2 linked regions of the Drosophila melanogaster genome follow. The protein of the gene in region 1 interacts with the protein of each later gene in a pairwise test. Each region holds a gene or a part of one and is shown in the gene's direction. Other genes may lie near its edges. The genes, in order: CG15572 and pod1.

Region 1 (4,924 bases):
CGGTCCGCAAAGTCCACTCCTTCCAGCTGATCGACGTGCGGCGAAGGCAATCCCTGAATCCCAGGCGACTTGTGTGTCAGCTGCATTGGGGCCCCACTGCCTCCCCTCGACCGGTTGCCAGCAGCTAAACGGGCTAATTGAAATGCAACTCGAAGGCAGAGTGGCCGATGTCCAAGACTCCACCCGACCCCTCTGAGGTGTGATGCTGGCATTTGAGAGCCTTGAGCTTGCGGTCATATCAACAAGGATACGTTGACTAAGACGGGCGACCTCAATCGCGTCCTTTGTGTTTGATGTGGTGTCAGCTTCGGGCGCAAATCATTTACTTTCGCCTGTCCCACCTGCAGTATATACCAATGTATATATGTATGTGCAGTACATATGTGTGAATGCTTCATTTCGGTTTGATTAGCGATGGCAAAAATAGACTCTAATAGATAAAATATATCATTATCTAACAGTATTATATGTGATTTTAGTGATAACCGCTTTAGCTTTTTCAAATCTATGTTGAAAATCTATCTTATCAGCGTGCATTGCTGTTTCGCCATCCCTAGCAGAATGTGCGAAGCTATTAGTTCCTCACTGAATAAGCGATTGTGTGCGGGCAACTGTTTGAGTTCACTGATTGTTGCGACACCGACTAGCATTTAAAGGGTCCAAACAGAATGCGGCCATGGTCCGTGCCATCCCCATTAATTCCACACCCTCGAGGGAGGCGGAAGTCACTGCGCTTGGGGTTTAGTCACGCTTATGTCCTTGGCCTTACGTCTCCGTCCCACACACACATCCCCCCTCCCCCCCTCCTCATTTGTGATAATACCTGTTTGGTCTTTGGGAGCTCGGAGCTTCAAGAGGTCCTAGGTACCTAGCACCGACTACGTTGTTTTCACGCCCGTTGAACGGGGCAAGCGAGCGTGAGGCGAGCACATTACAATGATGCAGCACCACCAACTCTTTCTCCACAGCCAACCAAACCCCCCCCCCCCCCCCCACCAATCACTAGGGCAACTCATTTAGTATCTTGTGTGTGTGTGTGTGTGTGTGCAGAATACTGCGCACTCTGGACCCAGTGTTTAGTCCAGTCAACTGGCTTTACTCAGCTAAATTAGATTTTGTGGTGCGTAATTTGAAAATTGTGAAATTACCCAACACTGCGGAGTCGAGTCAAAATGGAGAAGTGACGCGGCACATTAACACCCAACCATGCCAACTGCGTTTTCTTTGAGGGTCGCTCACTAATGTCGGATTATCCGCTTTGAGCCTTTTTAAGAGCACCCAAAAACACACGAAATTAGTGCAATCCAATTGCCAGAGCCCCAAAATGGGAAAGAGCAACCCTTGAGCAAGATTGGCCATAATTCAAGAACAAAATCCAATTCTTGTGATTTTCGCACCTCATCACAATGTCTAAAAACAGGCCCGGGGCGCTCCCCTTATTCGTTTGCTTAACGCATAACTTTTGGGCCCTCGGTGGCATATTGTTTTACATGTTGCTCCTTTGGATAAACGGATTCGGCTTGTTTTGGCCTGCGGAAAAGTCGTCCTTTTTGGGTCGAAAGCGACCCAAGCGAAAAACTGGAACCCAAAAATTGTTATGTTGTTGAGGTTTTCCGTTTATTCCATTATTTATGTACTGCACACGCTTAGGCTAAGGCCTTTCCTTTGTTTGGGAACAGAAGTAGTACAACATATTTTTTAGAAAGTAATATTAACAAATAAATTCATTAGCAAGCACAGTAGGCAGCGATTTTACCGTCTACGTTACTTGACGTAGGGCCTTTTCTAGGTATACATAACACATACACCCTCCATTCGATCGGCAAAATTTATCTTTCGGCAACATACTAAAAACTGTTGTAAATTATCGTATCTGTATCGTGTTCTTCTGTTGGATTATTGGTCCCAAGTGTGTAGACGACTGCCCGTTCTCCGGTTTTCCTCCAGACCGTAATAAGATAACCGCAGAAAAGTCCAACGAAGCAGCTCAACAAAAATTCTAAATATAATACCGAGAATAATCATCAACCATCAAATACATCAGTCCACTAGCCGAATTAGCAAGCACTGTCCTGTAACCAGCATACCACGCCTTTGGGAATATCTATTGTGACAGAGGACGAGCAATGGAGGATTTGCATTTAAAACTCGGCGATCTGCCCCAGGAAGTATTGGCTGCACGGCACAGCATGATTATGGGCCAAAAGTTGGCTGGATCACTTGGTGAGACACAGCATCACCTTCAGCATCAACATCACCTGAATCACCAACTGAACCAGCTCAATCAGTTGAGCCACTTGAATCAGTTCCATCAGTTAAACCAATTGAATCAATTGAGTCAGCTACACCAGCATATACAACATAAGATCTCTTCGGGGATGAACCTAAATTTGGATCTGGACCATAAGATGGAGACGGAGATGGAGTTGGGTCTGGGCCTTGATGTGGATGTGAATCTGGGAGTTAATCTGGACATGAATCCGGAGGGCAGTATTACCAATAGTACCAGCCGTACCAGCAGTGCTAGCAGGACCAGCAGCACCAACACGTGCAGCGATCAGGGGCAAGGACATGGATCTGGGATTGGACTTGGTGACCCAAAGCGGGACCAAAGCCAAGTCCACTACGCCCATGACCCTGCCCAGGATAATGGCGATTCACCGAATGTCAAGAGTTGTACTGGAATGTGCAGCCATCAAACAGAGAGCAATATGAATAAGGGGGATTCCCTAACGCATACCAAGTCTTCATCGCCGAAGACGGACAAGGGGGAGAAGGATAAGGAGGAGCTTAAAGCGAAGGAGGAGGAGGAGGAGGAGTTTAAAGAGGATACGGAGGATAAGAAGGATAACGAGGACGTTTTCCAGAAACAGGAACCGTCTTCTTCCATGTTGATTAAGGCGGCCAACTCCAAGCTAAATGTCAATGCCACTGTTTACACGATGCCAGCCAAAGTAGAACCCCTTCATGACGGATCATTCGTGCCCCAACCGAGTTCCAGTGCCACCTCACAGGGCACTGGGGACTATCGCCTCAATGCCCAGGCTGCTGTATTCAAGCCATCTTTGATGTGCATTTGCTCGTTGGCTTCGCCGGTGGTTTTGCAACGACTACGTCCGATTGTAGTACGGCCACCACTACCGGGGGTATCGCAACACCTGATGTCGGACATTTCACAGCCTCTACTGCCGAACTCGCCACTGATGAGCCACGAGTTCTTAGCCCATGGTTTTCATCCAATGCAAAGGTCGGGCCATAAACCAAGTGGCCGCTGGCGCAAACAACCGCTTCCGGACTTGTTCAGCGCCGTCATGTCACTGGTGACGGAACTGAAGCGATCGGTGAGCTATCCGGAGATCATAAGCTGCCTATCCAAGAGACTCCATCGAGCGGAGGTGGAACTGAAGCGCCATGTACCGCACACATTGCACGCCGCCGTTAACAATGGCTATTTGAAGAAGGAGGGCAATCGCTATTCCCTGCTCCCCGAAGTGGAACAGGCTGAGATCATGCGACGCAACATCGCGGATGCTCTTCGGGCCAAGGAGCTGGAGAAGGAGCCGTTGTCCTGGCGCAGGCGTTAATGTACGCAAAACCAATCCTCAACTACGTTCACAACCTGGCATCTACACGCATCATCCCGCATCCCGCAATCCACATTCTGCATCCTGCATCTTTATCATCACATTTCATATCCTTCTGCTTCATACATTTTATAATTAAGCTTGCACAGCACTCGAGGCTGTGAGCATGTAGTCCTGTGCGTTGCACAACCCAGAGCCCCGAGTTCTGTGCCGCCGACGAGCCCCGCAATTTGGTTTTACTGTACGTGACCTACGTCTGCGAAACAGCGGTCCGTGTGATCCTCGATGCGTGGCCTGTGCTTAAAGGCACGCAATCTTCGATCCGCGATCGACGAGCAGAAGAAGAATTCACGATGACAAAAGTATACATTGTATACAAGTCCAATGGGGACGGTTTAGTCGATATGCTGCCTCCAGAGGATATTTCGTTGCCTGATGTTCCCTTCAGCGTTAAAACAATCACGTTTTTCTGGTTAAGCGCTTTATTATTGCAAGCTATTCGGGTAAATTCATCAAACTTATTAATGGATGGAGATGTGGGGTTAATAAATGGCTTCCGCTAATTGGTATGATTACGTAAGACCTACGCAGTTATAAATCAACAATTCATATATAATTTCAACCATTCATTTTGTATTTCATTGGCCTGCTACTGCTCATTGAAATTCTGCTATGGCCATTAGTATTTTTTTTTTTTTTTTGCATTCAACTTTGTGTTTATCAATTTAGTCAGTCGTCCATCCATCTCTCAGTCAGTCAGGCATTCCAGTCAGGCAGTCATTTAGACGGTCGGCGGTTGTTCCGATCTGTACAGTTAACTAGCTATTGTGTGCAGAGTGGCGAGTATCTAGGAGCTCATCATGATTGTTTTGTAATTGGAATGCGACAATGCGAGGCCAACAAGGAGGACGGAGATGGTTGATGGTGGATAGATAGAGGATGCCATCTCCCAGTATGCAAGGACAATAACAATAACAAAAGCAGCAGCCACGGCAAGGATGAGAGGCTGTGGGCGGAGGGTGGTAAGGACGAGGAGGAGGACGACGAGTGAATGCCAACTCAACTAACAATTTGCTTCAATTATAAAAAGCGTCGCGACAAAGTGGCGCCAAGCAAGCGACGGGCGGGAAGGAGTGGGTGGTTGCATTGGGGCATGAATGTGATGCTGTGCTGTTGCTCTGGTTGTTGCTTTTGCCTTTGCCTTACTGTTGCTGCTGATGAAATGGGTAAACAGTGGACAGAGTGGCCCGGGGGTATGGCCTGGTAATCAGCATGGCGACGCACTGCTCCTTTGAGTCCTGAACTGCCTCCTTCTCGAGAAGAGAAGCGGCTCTGTGCTG
Region 2 (5,196 bases), 2.5 Mb from region 1:
TAGAAGTCTTAAGGCAGCTTAACTGGCTGGCGAAATTCAATTGAAGGCGAATGGAAAATCCTTCAATGGCAAATTCTTGGGGCAGCAACAAGTTTCAATGCATTTCCCTTGAAATCGGAGCTCTGCTCATTAATTATAAGCTAAAAGCTGGCGTCGTTGCATGGAACCAGAACCGGAATCAACAGGATAATGCTGGGTCAAACAAAAGTGCAATTATAAATGGACACCAGGCAGCAGGAATTGTGTTTTCACGGAATTAATTAAAACGAGGGTGGACAATGGGGTCAGCGGGGCAAAGGATTAATATGCATTTTCACACAATTCCTCTAACCACCCACTTTCGCAGCGTTCTAAACTCTTGTTCCTAGAGCAAGTGCATTTTCCAGGTAATCAAAATCCTTGGCGTTTAGTCGGAATCAACAGGATAATAATAGACAGAAAATGGTAAATCAAATACCAAATACCACACGAAAACAACCATTCGCAGGTATTAAGTAATGTGTGTGTGTGTGATTAGAGTTAAATCAAAAATTAGTGCTTCTCATATGTGGGCAGAAAGTGCATAAATATAGTCAGCAGAGCGTATTTCCATGGAAACCGCACATTTGCCCAATTTCCTTTCATCGAGAGGGGATATGAACTTACTTACTAATATGGTTTTAAAGCGTAGGATATTATTAGTTAAAAGAAAAATATTTCGATTTTTTTAATCTAGTAAAACGTTGTGTAAAATCCTTGCCTACTTTTCTGCTAAGCCCCACAAATTGTGCGGAAAATGTTAGGGATAACGTTTGCAGAGGCCAAATTCGGTTCAGGATTTCCGAGAAATGTTTAATGCGATTTAAATATATATATGTACATATGTATATGAGTGATGTGCCTCAAAAACTCTAGTCAATAAGGATTTTCGGAATGATTTAATTAAACAAAATTCTACAGATAAACAAAGGTCAAATGCAATCGGAGAGTTCCGGGAAATATTCAAGGAGCTTCCTTCCATATGGGATGCAGAGTGAAATTCTATGGTTTATACAAATGGAGTAAAGACGACAAGAGGATAAATTCCAATTAGGATGACAGCCTTTTTATCCAGGTTTCAAACCATATAAATTTAGGAAGAATTTTAGAGGAAAAAAAAGACGAGAGTGTGTGTTCGTGTGTGTGGGAGCGCAGCGGAGGTGCGAGGGACGAAATGAAAATAGGAAGAGGAAATGGAAAGGAAAACGAAAATGTTTGCGTTCGCTTCTGGAGTTGTTCTTTCAATGTTTAACACTTCTGGAAGAGAGGCAAATGCAACTGCAGCATCTAAAAGTCTAAAAATAGACTTGTTGACAGCTCCCAAAACGAGCAGCAGCAGCAGCAACAACACGAACAACAACAATGAAAGGCGGGGGCGTTGCTGGATAAAGGGGCGCGGGTTTTGTGAGCAGTACAGGGATAGTGGCAATAGGATCAAGAGGATGGTGAAGGGCAGAGACGGAGGCGGAGGCGGAGGAATGTGTGTAAACGATGGAGGCGAATGCAAACGGTAAACTGTGTGGAAATTGGAAGGAAAAGCCAAGGAGTCGCCAAAAAAAAAACGAAGAGAGCGCTTAAGAGCGAAATACTGACCGATTTTCTGCAGTATATTCATGATGAGGCCGTGTGTTTCCGCCAGGATTCACAGATTTCCCTCTTGGCAATTTTCATTCTCCTTTTTCCGCAATGATATTCGGTTCTTTTTGCTCATAGCCGCAGGCCAGTAAATAATATAAAAAACACTAAATTCTCTTTTCCTCTCACACGCACATTTTCATCGTTCTCCGCTTGAGTAGTATTAGTATTTGCTCACACACACAGTACAGTATTTTTATTTGATATTTCGCCCCGTCTCGCTCTAACTACACATATATGTACATATATTTATAAAGTTGTGTTGCGATCCGCACTTTGTATTCACTTAAATTCAATCGCACTCGCACTGCACTTTTGGCCGGCTCTCATTCGGTCCAAAAAAAAGAAAATATAAAAAATAACAATACAATTTTAAACGCGCAACACAACAACAAAATGCGGTGACCGTCGCGCAGTGCTGCTAAAATGCTTCCCAAACAATGTGAAAATAGTGACGAAGAAAGTGACGATTAGATCGCAATCGATAGCTCTGTCGATAGCGCTGTGGCGATGTATGGGTGCCACCTCTAGCACGCGGAGATGGAAACTATCGATAGACGATGACAAAACGTTTGAAAAAAAGTTGAAGATCTCTCGCGTAGTTTATTGATTGCATTGGTAATTTAATTGCAATATTTGTAATTACAAGCGGGAGAATAATCACCGGCGCGTGTGTGTGAGCCTAATCGCCGTGTTTTTCCTCCCGTGTGTATGTTTGCGTGGGTGTGCAGTTGCAGCACTGCAACTCAAGTGTGCGTCTGAGTGTGTGTGTGTGCAAAACTGCTCCTTTGTTTGCCCATAAAAAAAGAAGCGGCGTCGCCTTTGCGCAGTTTTTGTTGGTGTAGTTGCACCACCCCCTCTCCGGCTACTGCTCCCCACTCCACCCCCGCGCGCACCCTTTGTTGTTGCATTTGTAGTTGTCATTGTCATTGCCGCCGCTTTGGATTCTTCCTCTTCTTCTTCTGCCGGCGCCAGGGTGTGTGCTGCAAAAAATAAGGAAAAGGAAACGAAGGAAAAGCGAAAAAAGAAGTATATAAAAATAAATTCACCCCTCTTTTCATTGAATGGCACGCAAACTAGAAAGTAACAACCAATAATCAAATGCAATGTATGCAAAATATAGGATGGAAAACTTGTGAAAATGTCAATAAATGCATATAAGCAGCAACAACAAGAACAACAAAGTGACCAAAAACCAACCACCAGAAGTGCAAATGTGTGTGTGTGTGTTTAGTGGGCAGTGGGTGAAAACAACAAAAATGCTAGCCGGCTTGTTTCTAGCCACCCCCAACCAAGCGAAAGAGAGAGATAGGGATGCAGATGCTCGTGCTCTCCCACGCCGCCCGCTGTCATCCGTTAACCGTTAGCCGCTGAGCTCTCCTGCAGGTTGCACCTGTGCCCGTCTCGCTCTCACTTTGCAACATCACCTCGTTATATTGCCTTTGATTTTGCTTTTCTAAATCACTTGACCCCATTACCTGGTGGCTCCGCTGGCCAATACCTGCTTGGCCGTCCCCCAGCCGCACCTCCTTTTACCCCCAGTGGTCATTTGTTTTGCCGCTTTCTAACAAACAGAAACAGTTGAATTGGCGCATGCTCTCTCCCTCCCGCTCTCGCTCTCTCGACGTTTGCTTACTGCACTCGGGAGACTACACAGTGCGGCCTCCAGAGAGTAGAGTATAAAAATAAAGTAATAACTAACTAAAGACGTAGAAAAATATATATTTTTGCGCAAACTAATATTTTATTTGTTTGATCCAAAGGCTCATTGATGCCATTGCACTGTGATGTTTAGTTTACAGAGTGCTCACTGTGCTTATCCATAAACTGCAAGCCAGTTGGTTGTGTTTGTACAAGGGTATGTGTGTGTGAAACTCTCCATGAAATTTATCAAAAGGATCGTTAACCCTTAGGTGTGGCATATTAACCCTTACCGCCGCTCGGATCATACTGTTTGTGTTGCCATTTTCAGCAGTTGTTCATACACGTACTTCATATTTGCAAATTACACATTAGAAATTAGTGCAAATTTAAGTAAATATATGTTTAGCTTGACAGAAAGTGAAGAAATAACGCTGAAAAGAGGATCACTAACCCTTAGGTGTGCCAAATTAACCCCCACCGGCCGGAACTCATCATATTTTGCCCAGTGTTTTTCCTCGCCTTTCCTGATGATGTACAAACAAACATTCGCATACATACTCAAACAAACACGTACGCCAAATGCGCGAGTGTTGGTCGGGTTGGCTGGCTGGCTCATCCGGCTTTGGTGGACACCATTCTTGTCCAGCTTTCTCTTTTCAATAGACGTATCGCCGCAATAGCAAGTGCATCTCTCTTTTTTTCCCCATCCATACTTGCTAAATGTATTATTATTTATATTCGGTTATCGGCTATTGTTTGCCCTATCGGATTTGGATGACGATGAGTCAGGAGCGGCGGGCAAGACGATAACAAACTGTGGAATGTCCCCCGCGCACCCAAGTGATATCATACTCGTACTTATGCGGCTATTTTGCCATTTTCCAGAAACGAAACTCTGAAACGGAGCAGCGGAGCGGAGAGCGAAGCGCAAGAGAGCGACTGAGAGGGAGCCACCGGACTAGTGACACTCGACCATCAGGCATCAAGCATCGGGCATATACAATCCACAATCGACTCTCTACACTCGAGCAGAGAACGTCCATATCCATATCCACATCCGCATCGGATCGCCATCACATCGGATCGAAGCCCTCCCAGCTCAACCAAGTAGCCAACCATGGCCTGGCGATTCAAGGCTTCCAAGTACAAAAATGCCGCACCCATTGTGCCCAAGGCGGAGGCATGCGTCCGCGAGATCTGCGTGGGCAGCTACCAGACGTACGGTAACAACATCGCCGCCTCCGGCGCCTTCATGGCCTTCAACTGGGAGCACACCGGGTCCAGCGTCGCTGTCCTCCCGCTGGACGACTGCGGCCGGAAGAGCAAGACCATGCCGCTGCTCCATGGACACACGGACACAGTGACGGACCTTAAGTTCTCCCCGTTCCACGACGGGCTGCTGGCCACCGCCTCGCAGGATTGCCTGGTAAGAGATCCTTTAATATTATTTGGGAGTACCCCTAAATGTTTCAAAAATATATTATGTGTTAGGTCATTACTTTCCAATGATATGTCCATAGAGTTACTCAGAATATATTTTTTTTCTTGTTTTATTTTTGCAATATTATTAATTTAATAAAAATGTATTTTCCGTTTCTCAAACATTAAATGTTTATTTACCAGAAGCTACAGATAAAATAGTTGCATGTTATAATGAGTTTATGAGTGTGATAAGAACGAACAATCAATAATATGCTATTATTAATATTAATAACTCACCAGAAACCATAATTTCATCGCAACGCTATCACATTAGTCACAAATTAGATAGTCAACATGACACAAAGTCCCCCTGCTAATCAATCACTACCATTGCAATCCACAGGTCAAGATCTGGCACATACCGGAAAAAGGTCTGGAGCAGTCGCTTTCCGATCCGGAGGCAATCTTCTCACACAA

Evidence for each region.
Region 2: the proteins of CG15572 (region 1) and pod1 interact in a two-hybrid assay, tested with the Drosophila melanogaster proteins (one large-scale study listed by BioGRID).

The regions. Positions count from the first base shown.
Region 1 is NC_004354.4:4,266,905-4,271,828, forward strand, and holds CG15572 (uncharacterized protein), read left to right. Parts: upstream 1-1,796; 5' UTR 1,797-2,126; coding exon 2,127-3,584; 3' UTR 3,585-4,179; downstream 4,180-4,924.
Region 2 is NC_004354.4:6,801,496-6,806,691, forward strand, and holds the start of pod1 (pod1 coronin), read left to right. Parts: upstream 1-2,188; 5' UTR 2,189-2,271; intron 2,272-2,600; exon of another isoform or gene 2,601-2,682; intron 2,683-3,489; exon of another isoform or gene 3,490-3,511; intron 3,512-3,632; exon of another isoform or gene 3,633-3,754; intron 3,755-3,889; exon of another isoform or gene 3,890-3,980; intron 3,981-4,182; 5' UTR 4,183-4,414; coding exon 4,415-4,723; intron 4,724-5,122; coding exon 5,123-5,196.